Drosophila melanogaster: one gene and its partners. Each later gene encodes a partner of the first gene's protein in a complex. Each region holds a gene or a part of one and is shown on either strand. Other genes may lie near its edges. The genes, in order: Tim17a1, ttm50 and ttm2.

Region 1 (3,666 bases):
GCCGGAATTTGTAAAGATCAATCCTCAGCATACGATTCCCACGCTGGTTGACGATGGTTTCGCCATCTGGGAGTCGAGGGCTATACTGATTTATCTGGCCGAGAAGTACGATAAAGATGGCTCCCTTTATCCCAAGGATCCCCAGCAGAGAGCCGTGATCAATCAGCGCCTGTTTTTCGATCTGAGTACTCTGTACCAGAGCTACGTGTACTACTACTATCCCCAGTTGTTCGAGGATGTGAAGAAGCCAGCTGATCCCGATAACCTCAAGAAGATCGATGATGCTTTCGCTATGTTCAATACTCTGTTGAAGGGTCAGCAGTACGCCGCCCTCAACAAGTTGACTCTGGCCGATTTTGCGCTTCTGGCCACCGTTTCCACTTTTGAAATATCGGAATATGATTTTGGTAAATATCCGGAAGTGGTTAGGTGGTACGACAATGCCAAGAAAGTGATACCCGGCTGGGAGGAGAACTGGGAGGGCTGCGAGTACTACAAGAAATTGTATCTGGGTGCGATTTTGAACAAACAATGACGGGTCTGTAATAAATAATCTAATCTGTATCGACCTGTTTGAATAAAGAGTGAGACATTGTGAAATGACAATGAGTATAATAAACGAAGAGTTGTTGGCTTTTGTACAGCGATAAGGCAGAGGATCCTCTGCTCCAAACATTCTGATAGCGATAAGATATTGCTACGTGTCGGTTTGCTGAAATGCCACCTGCCGTGATTTTAGCGATAGCCAAAACAATTAAATTCAAATGGTAATTTTGGACAAACACCTGTACTAATTCATGATTTACGTAAAGTTTAGTTCAACGGGAAGCTAAACGAAATGAAATTGGTAATACAGCTGCACTCTGCTCTTCCAGAAGTTTCTCTTGTGTCCAGTGCTAGCCCAAAAATTGCTGACTATTATCACCTATACCTAATTGATCCATCAGCCCCGAAACATTCTACGAGTATTTTTTGTGGTTATCTTCTATTTCTTATAAAACACGACTAAACCGCAGAGAATTTTTCAGTCGTTTGTCGCGTTTTGACTCCAGCAGAGCAGCCGAGTATATTTGATTACCACGTAGGTATGTATACTTTTGTTGTTTTTGATGAATTTATTATAGAGATTGCGTAACCAGGTTCAGCGAACGAAATGAGAAAGTGATTAGCTGTTCGTTTTTTTTTTTATTCAGTTTCCAGAGATCCCTTCAGAAAGTGAGATAGCGTAAGATGGATTTATACTATAGACCCGGATCTGCTCCCTGCCGCTCTGTTCTGATGACAGCCAAGGCACTGGGTGTGGAGTTCGATAAGAAGACCATTATCAACACCCGAGCTAGGGAGCAATTCACGCCGGAATACCTGAAAATCAATCCGCAGCACACGATCCCCACGCTGCACGACCATGGATTTGCTTTGTGGGAGTCGCGGGCGATTATGGTTTATCTGGTGGAGAAGTACGGCAAGGACGACAAGCTCTTCCCCAAGGATGTGCAAAAGCAGGCGTTGATCAATCAGCGCCTGTACTTCGACATGGGTACGCTGTATAAGAGCTTCTCCGAGTACTATTATCCGCAGATTTTCCTAAAGAAGCCCGCCAATGAGGAGAACTACAAGAAGATCGAAGTGGCCTTCGAATTCCTAAACACATTCCTGGAGGGGCAGACCTACAGCGCTGGAGGGGATTATAGCTTGGCGGATATTGCCTTTCTGGCCACCGTTTCCACTTTCGATGTGGCTGGCTTCGATTTCAAGCGGTATGCCAATGTGGCACGTTGGTACGAGAATGCCAAGAAACTGACTCCCGGTTGGGAGGAAAACTGGGCTGGTTGCCAGGAGTTCCGCAAATACTTCGATAACTGAATATATGAACCCGAAATACTGATAAAACACCTATTATTCGGTTATCAAGAAAAAACTATATATTTAAAGATTAAGACTGGGCTGGATTTCGATAGACATTTCAATAGTTAAATAAAAAAAATTCACTTTTAAAGTTTAATCCGTTTTTTGAAATACAAATTTAATATCATAAAATTGTAAACATCTAGAAAGGACGCAAACGTCAGCATCCCAAACACTTCGTATTATGTTTACTCAAAAGTCTATTTCCAAAACACAAGTTTTTGATTTGAAGCCACTTGAAGAATATTAGTATACCCAAAGGTTTTGATATAGTAAGTCAAGGCCATGGAGTACAATCGCCAGCCGTGTCCCATTAGGATTGTGGAGGATTGCGGATGTGCCTTCATGATGGGCACCATCGGTGGTTCGCTGTTCGAGTTCCTCAAGGGTTTCCGTAACGCTCCTACCGGATTGCAGCGCAGACTTTATGGTGGCATTGATTTGGTGAAGATGAGAACGCCGTCCATTGCCGGCAGCTTTGCCGTTTGGGGTGCCACTTTCAGCACAGTGGATTGCGCCCTGGTCCACTATCGCCAGAGGGAGGATGCCTGGAACTCGATACTCAGTGGAGCGGCCACTGGTGGGATATTGGCAGCCCGTAATGGCATTCGGGCCATGGCCAACAGTGCTCTGGTGGGCTGTCTGGTGCTGGCCATGATTGAAGGAGCCGGTGCAGCAGTGGCCACCATTAATGCAGCCGACAAAGGTGCAGGGATAGTCATCAAGCCGCAGCGGGCCCAGTGGGAGGCCATACTGGAGACTATTGATCCGAAGAGAGCGTCATCCACTCAAGATTTCGCACTGGCGGAGTTTGAACGGGTGCTGGACAAATGTCGGGCGAGCAGGGAACCAAATTTACTTCAGGACATTCCGGTTAAGAGTCACGAGCGAGATTCCAAACAGAAGCCATTTTATTCCCTCTTGGATCTGGTGAAACTGTCCCAGATGTTCTAGTGTTGCCCAAAAAAAAAGGGTTTTCATTTTCATTCAATCTTTCGTTCTCAACAATCACTCATCAAAATTGTGTGCATGTACTAGTTTTCACCGTTCATTTCATGATCGTAATATACAAAACGCATAAGATACTAAAGCTTATCTACTATCAAAATCATAGCATACTTCTTGGCGTCAGAATTTCAAGTTCGAAACACTTTATTTTGTGGCTTTATTTTTTTAAAGGTTGAATAAAACAATGTATGTATGTATTTCCCAATCTATAGATATCCCAGAAAAATCCCACTACTTGAGTAACGGATATCTGGTAGTCGGGAAACTCGACTGTAGCATTTTCTCTTGTGTTATACTTCAAATGGCTCAGCTTGAAACAGAACTTTTTTTTGGTTTTTATAATTCAAATTTGTACAATTATTTCATCGTATGGAAAACAAAACTCGGAACAGATTTATATTCATATCTGCAGCGCTGAACAATATCATACAATTTGAAAGAGGGTTCTTAGGATCTGTAGATTTAATAAAAAGCATTTATTAATATCTAACCTCTACCCTGGAAAAGAGGTATTTATGATTCTATCATAATATCCTTAAATAAATCAATTTAAACGTTCAATGCTATATCAAATTAACAAAAAAATAAATAATGCCGTTGTCCACTTATCAAAATCGTTTCGAATCTTTTATTATAATTAAAGAAAATCATAAATTAATACAAAATTAAGAATTAAACTAGTTGATGAGACAGAACAGAGCGCAGAGAATTGGAAGGTGGTTACCAGGATAGGGTTCATAAGTAAGTATATCA
Region 2 (3,752 bases), on another chromosome or scaffold:
CCTAGCGGCCGAGAATGTTGCGCGACCACTGTTTGACCATTGGCTTGGTCTTGGACTGCTCGATGCGTTCCGCCTCCAGCATTTGTTCGGCCAGCTTGCGCTGGTTCTCCCGGAACTGGTTGATGGGATCGTCGAACTGGCGATAGTAGTGGAGCACCTCGCGCACGTCGTCCACGTTGTTCTGCGCAATTACTGTAGCGAATTGCAAGGGTCAGTGTTTAGCTTTCAATGTCACTTGTGGCGCAACTTACTCTTTAGGAAAGCGATAAGGTCCAGCAGTTGGCCATCATCGTCGTTGCCATGCCAGCGGGCCAAGCCGAATGTGTTGTCCGGATGCATCTTGGTGGCATTCGCATCCCAGTCCACAACAATCACCTAAAATACTCCCTTCTTTATAGATGATTGCAATAGAAAATACGTTGTGCATGACTTGCCTTCTTGAGGTCGCGATTAAGGTTGTCCAGGTTCTTCACATGATGGCCGTCCACAAAGTGCGTGGCATCCCTGACCAGGCGGTACATAATGTAGCCGTTGGGATCGAGGGCATCCAGGATGGGGAACACGGTCATGCCCTGTTCGGCGGTGAAGACGACAATTTCAAAGTCCTTGGCGCACTCGGCCAGAAAGTGGTCGACGCCGGGACGCTTCTTGAAGCGCCAGCCAGTTTGGTAAGTCCAGTCCGGATGCACCAGCACGTCCTTCATCTCCAGCACAAGCGTGTAGCGCGGCTGCACGTACGGCGGCTTGAGCGGATCGGGCAGCAGTTTGGCGCGCGACGGCTCCTGGATCATGCGCTGATAGTAGTGAATGCTCTTCCACATCCGCTGCAGATACTGCTGTACCAGCGGCTTGTGTGTGAACTCGTCCTCGATGGGCTGCCCGTTGGGGTCCACCTCGGGCTTGCCGAACTCGTAGACGGCCCAGAATCCAGCAGCCACGGCGCTGCCTCCGAATATTGCAAAGCTGCAGCAGGAAGTATTGTTATAATACTGTTACGCATTGAATGGGCGTCAGCTTACCCCAGCTTCATGCGCTTCCAGGCACGCTCGTTCTCCTTTTCCTCCTCCTCCTCGCGCTTCTTGCGCTCCTGCTCGGCGTTGCTGTCCACCTCCGGCGAGGTCTGAGGAAAGAGCTTGGCCAGCAGCGGGGCATTCGGTGCGACCTCGGGCGCATCATTGGGGCCAGTGGCTCCAGCTTCCTGCTCTGCGAAACGAAAGTGGCCAAGGATGAATGTTTAGGACTCTACTGTTTAGGACTCTACCGTGAATCACTTACTGGTTGTGCTGCTGTAGCCACGCGCTGTGTGCAGGATCGAGAAGAGCGCCGGAGCAGCCGCTGGCAGTGCTGTGCAAGTGAATAGTCGGAGGTACTGCTGCTGGTGGTGGAGGAGGTGGTGCTGGTGCTGGTAGTGTTGGTGGTAGTGGTGGTAGTGATTACCCAATGCGCGGTGCTGGTGGATGTGGGTAAGAAGACGCGGCGTGCTAAGGCCGCGCAGCAACTGGAGGACGGTGGCCGGTGCCATGCTCATGCTCATGCTTCCCCCTTCCTTCCCGATATCGAGTCCTAGAGCCGTTCACGAGTCCTGCTCGGATGGCAGCGACTTTTTACTTATAAAAAATTCCAACAAAAATTTCAACTTCCCACCGGCACGGCGTTGGCGTTAGGGATTTTATATACTGTCCACTGCCAGGCGGCACCAGGCGTTAGTACATTTAGCACGTGGCTCTCAGCAGGTATAGATCGGCGATTTTCAAGCCAAATCTGGCGGGATTTTGCAGATAACTGCGTGTGTACATATGTTGCCTCCGGCAATCTGACTAATCACAGTATTAAGAAAATTTTAAATTAAAATATTTTAAATAATATGGAAATACACAACCTTTGACCAACCACCAAGCCACTGTGCCTCTGGTCACTTCCAAGCTGATGTGCCTGGCTAGCTATTTTGAGTGCCACCACTAACGCATCAGCTGGACTTTGGCATCACTGTTCGGGACGCTAAATTAAGTTATTTATTTAAACGTGTATTATCTACTGTCGAGTTCAATCCATGACGACCATGTCGCCGCCGTCCCCCATGGACGCCTTGTGCCGCGTGTGCCACACAGCATCGCCGCGCTGCCTGCCGCTCTTCAAACCGCTCGACGATCCAATTTCCGGCAAACCAGCGACGCTGGCCAGCATTTTAAGCTACTGCAGCGGTCTGGAGATCCTAGAGGCGGAGCTCTTCCTGCCCCACCACATCTGCCCGGACTGCGTGGCCAAGTTGCGGCTCTCGCTGGAATTCAAGCGGAGTGTCCATCGCATGGACAGAATTCTGCGGCAGAGTCATGCGGACTTTTGCCGCAGCAAAAAGATCAGCGCGGTGAATACTAGGGCCAGGCTGTCAACCGAGATTCCGGAGGATTTTGTACTCGTGCTCGATGACCAGGAAGTGACTGAATATCCAGCAGAAACGATACGAGATGAGGAGCAACTCCTGGTCGTAGAATCAGATGAGGCGGAGAGCCGGCTGGAAGCGCCAATTGTACAGGAGGAGAGGCTGGATATTGCACTGGAACAGCACGAAGACGATCTCTGCGAGATTGTCGACGATCCGGATCCGGAGCAACGTAGGAGCAGGTTAGAAAGATCCGAGCCAGCGCTGCAATGTCCCGTGAGTTGCCTTTCCGAATTAGAAGTAAGTAATCACGAAATAGTTTCCCATCTTCGGCAGATTTGCGGCAAACAACTGGCTAGGAAGCGGACCTTTCAGTACCACATGAGGCTACATGGCCAGCCAAAAATTCGCCAAGAAGACAACGACCACTGCATTGAAGAGTGCCTCCAAGTGGAGCCCGTTTTGCAGGCCAAAGCTGGCGAAGATGTCTACGAGATTGTGGAGAAATCAGCACAGACTTCGGCGACGCAGAAAACTTTGCCCAGTGGAAGCCGGCCTTGGAAACCCCTCAATCCCTCCCTACAGTGTAAAGTAAGTTGGTCATCGCAGCTCGCAAATAACTCAAAGCCGAAGGTCATCAATTCTCCCTCCATTCCTTTAGATCTGTGGCAAGCAACTAAGCACCAACAACTCCTTCAAGTACCATATGCAGCTACATGGCACGGCCACGCCCTACGTTTGCACAATCTGCGGAGAGTCCTTTAAGACGCGAAACGCCCGCGACGGCCATGTCACGCTGCACGATCGTAACAATCCGAACAGGTGCCCCACCTGCTTCAAGGTCTACCGGCAGGCGTCCTCGCTGCGCACACACCTTCTAATCCACAGCGGAATCAAGCCATTCGAGTGCAGCATCTGCGGCAAGAGGCTAACACAGAAGTCGGGCTACAAGAAGCACATGCTCACCCACACGGGCGAGAAGCCGCACGGCTGCGACATTTGCGGCCGTCGCTTCCGCTACTCGAGCAATCTGATTGCCCACAAGCGCTGCCACAGCCAGGAGAAGCCCCACCCGTGCCCGGTGTGCCAGAAGCGCAGCTTCGGCAGCACATCCGAGCTCAACCGCCACATGCTCGTCCACAGCAGCGAGCGACCGTTCGGCTGTGAGCAGTGCGGCAAGTCCTTCAAGCGCCGCATCTCACTCGCCATCCATCGCCAGTCGCACAAGGCGGGCAGACAGCGGAGGCGGGCCGAGCATGAAGTGGGTGTCCAACTGGAGGAGCAGGACGAGAATGTGGAGACCTGAAGCTAGATCGCTTATACTATCGGCTTAATGTACAAATCGGGACATTTAGTTTTAGTTCAATTCGCT
Region 3 (3,736 bases), on another chromosome or scaffold:
TAACCACGGCTCTGCACCTAGTTTTGGTGGTATTGGCGCACAATCCGCTATCAACTCGTGGCGAAAGCCTTTCTGATGGCATACGTCTGGTCATGGAAAAGAGGTCGGGCGATGTGGTACACATTCGTCCAGCTCGGGGCACACTGGAGGCCGAAACAGTCGCATCCACAACAAATAGTGACACCCACCGCACCAGGAACAATCGTAAGCCGAACAAGCCTCAAGAGCACTCTCAGCAGGTTGGGGCCCACAAGTCGGGATCTAGAAAACTAGTGGTTGCGGAAAATGGCGGGGCACTGTCATCACAACTACCACAACCAAATCACAAGCAAGGCCACAAGAACACTGATAAGCAACAACGAGGAGGGGGATCCAAGCAGCAGCGAGGACATAGCCAACATCATGGAGGAAATAGGAAAGGGCCTAAGGCAGCGACTCCAGAGAATGGTAAGCCTTAGGACTGCCACGTCAGAATTCAAATAGTTTTTAAATGCAAAGTCTTATATTTGCTTGTTAACAGGATCGACTTGCCGATACGCAAAGAGCGCTTGGTCCAATTGTGATCACAAGACCAACATGCGTTCACGAGTCCTGTCCCTAAGGAAAGGAGAGCAAAACTGCTTGCCCACGCGGACCATACAAAAGAAGTGCAAGAAAGGTGCGCGCGGTAACTTCTATATGTATCATAATCCTACACAGCGCCTCCCCAAAAGGGGAACGTAGTAGAATCGGGCATTCCCATAAAAGAGCAAGGCGGTGTCATTGCCGGCTTAATGGGTCCAAAGGTCACAAAATGCAAAAATCACTCTTGTTGACCCATATACAAGAATGCTTCCTTCTGGGGAGGATTGTGCTCTCTTCGACCCACTTCGAGGTTCTCCCCGCCACAGCTTCGTTTCGTTTCCTAGGAAATACTGCAGTTCCTGTTCCTAACAATGCAGCGAGTGCATCCTTCATAATAGCAAATACTTTCCAAAATTAATTTGAAATTTTGCGTACTTCCTTCGGTAGGCTGCCGCTATGAAAAGGGTGAATGGTCTCAATGCGTCGGAGGACAAATAACCAGAGAGGATAAGTTGGAACCAGAGGCAACTGGCGGTAGTGATCAAAACTGCAATCCTGTGCGTACCGTCAGCAAGAAGTGTAAAGCAAATGGCAATTCCAGTGGAGGAAAACAACACGGCCAGAGTCGTCGAACAAAAGAGCAAAAGCAAAAGGATAAGGGTAAAAGTGGTGAATTTGACCCCTTTGTGAAAAGTTTGATCCAAATTCTCTGTTTACAGGAGCCAGTCACATTTCGTCTTGATAATGAAAATTATTTATTTTATACGTATACGGAAGCAACATTTTTAATATTAAATAAGCGATTTTTAAATGCTAGCCCGTACGGACTACTTGAACAACAATAAAGAATTGGCCTTCTTAGGGCTAAATGAAAGCACTCTTTTAGAAATTCTTGAAACAAGGCTTTCACAAACCCCAATACCGCGAAAACCTGCACAAAATGAGACCTGTTATTGAGTAATCAAAGAGCATTGATAGAACTGTTAGTTGGCTCTGAGTTTTTATTTAATATTAGACGCGACAGTAAAATAACCGTCTGCGACAAAATTTAATTAACATTACACAAAAGAAAACGTTACCTCTAACTCGGCTTGGTAATATAAAGATGTTAAATTTAATAGTGTTTCTTTACTTAACTGCAAGCCCCCTTTAAATTGATCGATCTTTCGAGGCAAATCTTCAAGTTACCAATGTCTTTAATAGCCATTGAAAGGGTGTTATGTGGCTGGCCCAAGATTTGCCGCAAACTTATTGTAACGTCGCGGTCGCTGACCTCCGGCTTGCGGCGGGCACTGGTCAAGCAGCCCCGTAAAGGCGGAGATGTTGGAAAACCCGGAATGGAGCTTGGGCGCTGTTCGTGCTTTGGACTCCGTGTGAACCTCAGCAATGCATCCGTCGTATACGTTGGCCACCGACGCTACTCGACGTACGAGAAGACGTCTACGCAAATTTTAACGAAGCTCTTTCCACAAACCTCTGAGGAGTCCAACGACGAGGAAAGTCGTGAGCGGCGGAAACTTGAGGAGGAGGAGGAGCAGAAGGAATTGGAGCGGGCATTTAGGCGGATGAAACTGGGCTTTGGGCTTTTCGGCATAGGTAGCATGTTGTTCTCGTTTTGGGCTATATATTTCTATGGAAGGCCGTCCTTGGATGAGCACGGAAATGAAGTAATCGACGAATTTAGTTGTCTGCCACAGATGCAGCAGCTTATGTGGCGGACATGGAAGTCGGTGAACCGCTTTCAACGGTTTTTCAAAGAGCCGTCGAGAAAAAAGCTGCTTCCTGATCCCCTTCAGCCCCCCTACGTGCAGCCGCCGTATACTTTGGTACTTGAGATTAAGGATGTGCTGGTACATCCCGATTGGACCTACGAAACAGGATGGCGCTTCAAGAAGCGCCCTGGCGTTGACGTGTTTTTGAAAGAATGTGCCAAGTATTTTGAGATTGTTGTTTACACGGCGGAGCAAGGAGTTACTGTGTTCCCGCTGGTCGACGCGCTTGATCCGAACGGCTGTATTATGTATCGCCTGGTTCGCGACTCTACGCACTTTGATGGAGGGCACCACGTGAAGAACCTTGACAACCTCAACCGAGACCTAAAGCGAGTGGTTGTCGTGGACTGGGATAGAAATTCCACCAAGTTTCACCCTTCGAATTCATTCTCGATCCCGCGGTGGTCTGGAAACGACAATGACACTACCCTCTTTGAACTCACGTCGTTTCTTAGTGTTCTAGGAACGAGTGAGATCGACGATGTCCGAGAAGTGCTGCAATACTACAATCAGTTTAGTGACTCGTTATCCCAGTTCAGAGAAAACCAGCGAAAGCTGGGTGAGCTAATGCACGCCGAGGAGGTAGAAAAAACTAGCAAGTCTAGGCCCGTTGTCAAGAACTGGACCCGTGGCTTCATAAATCATTAAAAAGATTGTGCGTTTGATGTGTCCCTTAAATACTGTTAATTCACCCAAAAAATTACATTAAAACTTTCCTAGCATTCTTCAATGTCTACCTACTAACAGCAGTTACTTTTGCAGTTTTTTGCGTATTCTGATTGAAAAAGTCTGAAAACATATGATTTCTGATTTGGCATTTAAAGCAGACTGCCCTGCGGAACGTCAATGCTTCCTTGAAGGTAACAGTGCAGCCACTAGGCGGATACATAGCCGTAATGTTGTGAAAAATGTTGTGTTACGGTTTTATATGAATGCAGGCTTCCAGAAATCCTCAGTCCAGCACGAGCACGCAAGCTCAGCAACATGTTGCTGCCATGTGATGGTGTGCGTGAGCACGTGCCAAAATAACTACGACACATGTGTACTCTTGAGGGAATGTTTCCACAATCAACAACTACGCACTTCACACCACTAGGTGAGTCATGCGCAGTATCGTCCCTGCGAACATTCATCCGAATGTTGGCATAAGTAAGTAAAGGGATCAGGTGTACTGTAAGCCTTCCGTCTAGTTACTTTCGATGCAGATTTTGATTCTGGCTGAGGGTTCGTGGCTGGCTGGGCCTCTTCTCCTTATGTTGAAAACACACAACAATTCGGTGGTGGAAGTATACTGCGGACGTCAAACTGGCGAGCCAGGGCGCAGGCGTTGGTTCATTTGGCACTTTGTCTGGTACTCTCCCACATCGGCATCCTGCAATCTCTTTGGCTCAGCATCCTTG

What was found.
Region 2: Tim17a1 (region 1) and ttm50 share a complex: the UniProt entries of both Drosophila melanogaster proteins name them as parts of the TIM23 complex.
Region 3: Tim17a1 (region 1) and ttm2 share a complex: the UniProt entries of both Drosophila melanogaster proteins name them as parts of the TIM23 complex.

What each region holds. Positions count from the first base shown.
Region 1 is NT_033777.3:12,363,110-12,366,775, reverse strand, and holds Tim17a1 (Tim17a1), read left to right. Parts: upstream 1-2,095; 5' UTR 2,096-2,190; coding exon 2,191-2,859; 3' UTR 2,860-3,109; downstream 3,110-3,666. Other genes in the region: GstD9 (glutathione S transferase D9), read left to right, coding at 1-535; GstD10 (glutathione S transferase D10), read left to right, coding at 1,231-1,863. UniProt on the Drosophila melanogaster protein: Essential component of the TIM23 complex, a complex that mediates the translocation of transit peptide-containing proteins across the mitochondrial inner membrane.
Region 2 is NC_004354.4:2,730,515-2,734,266, forward strand, and holds the start of ttm50 (tiny tim 50), read right to left. Parts: upstream 1,677-3,752; 5' UTR 1,535-1,676; coding exon 1,276-1,534; intron 1,204-1,275; coding exon 1,020-1,203; intron 964-1,019; coding exon 435-963; intron 376-434; coding exon 252-375; intron 193-251; coding exon 2-192; 3' UTR 1-1. Other genes in the region: CG2712 (uncharacterized protein), read left to right, coding at 2,051-2,656, 2,717-2,971, 3,042-3,686. UniProt on the Drosophila melanogaster protein: Essential component of the TIM23 complex, a complex that mediates the translocation of transit peptide-containing proteins across the mitochondrial inner membrane.
Region 3 is NT_037436.4:273,584-277,319, forward strand, and holds ttm2 (tiny tim 2), read left to right. Parts: upstream 1-1,571; 5' UTR 1,572-1,754; coding exon 1,755-2,984; 3' UTR 2,985-3,084; downstream 3,085-3,736. Other genes in the region: miple2 (midkine and pleiotrophin 2), read left to right, coding at 1-447, 521-667, 1,012-1,224, 1,284-1,306. UniProt on the Drosophila melanogaster protein: Essential component of the TIM23 complex, a complex that mediates the translocation of transit peptide-containing proteins across the mitochondrial inner membrane.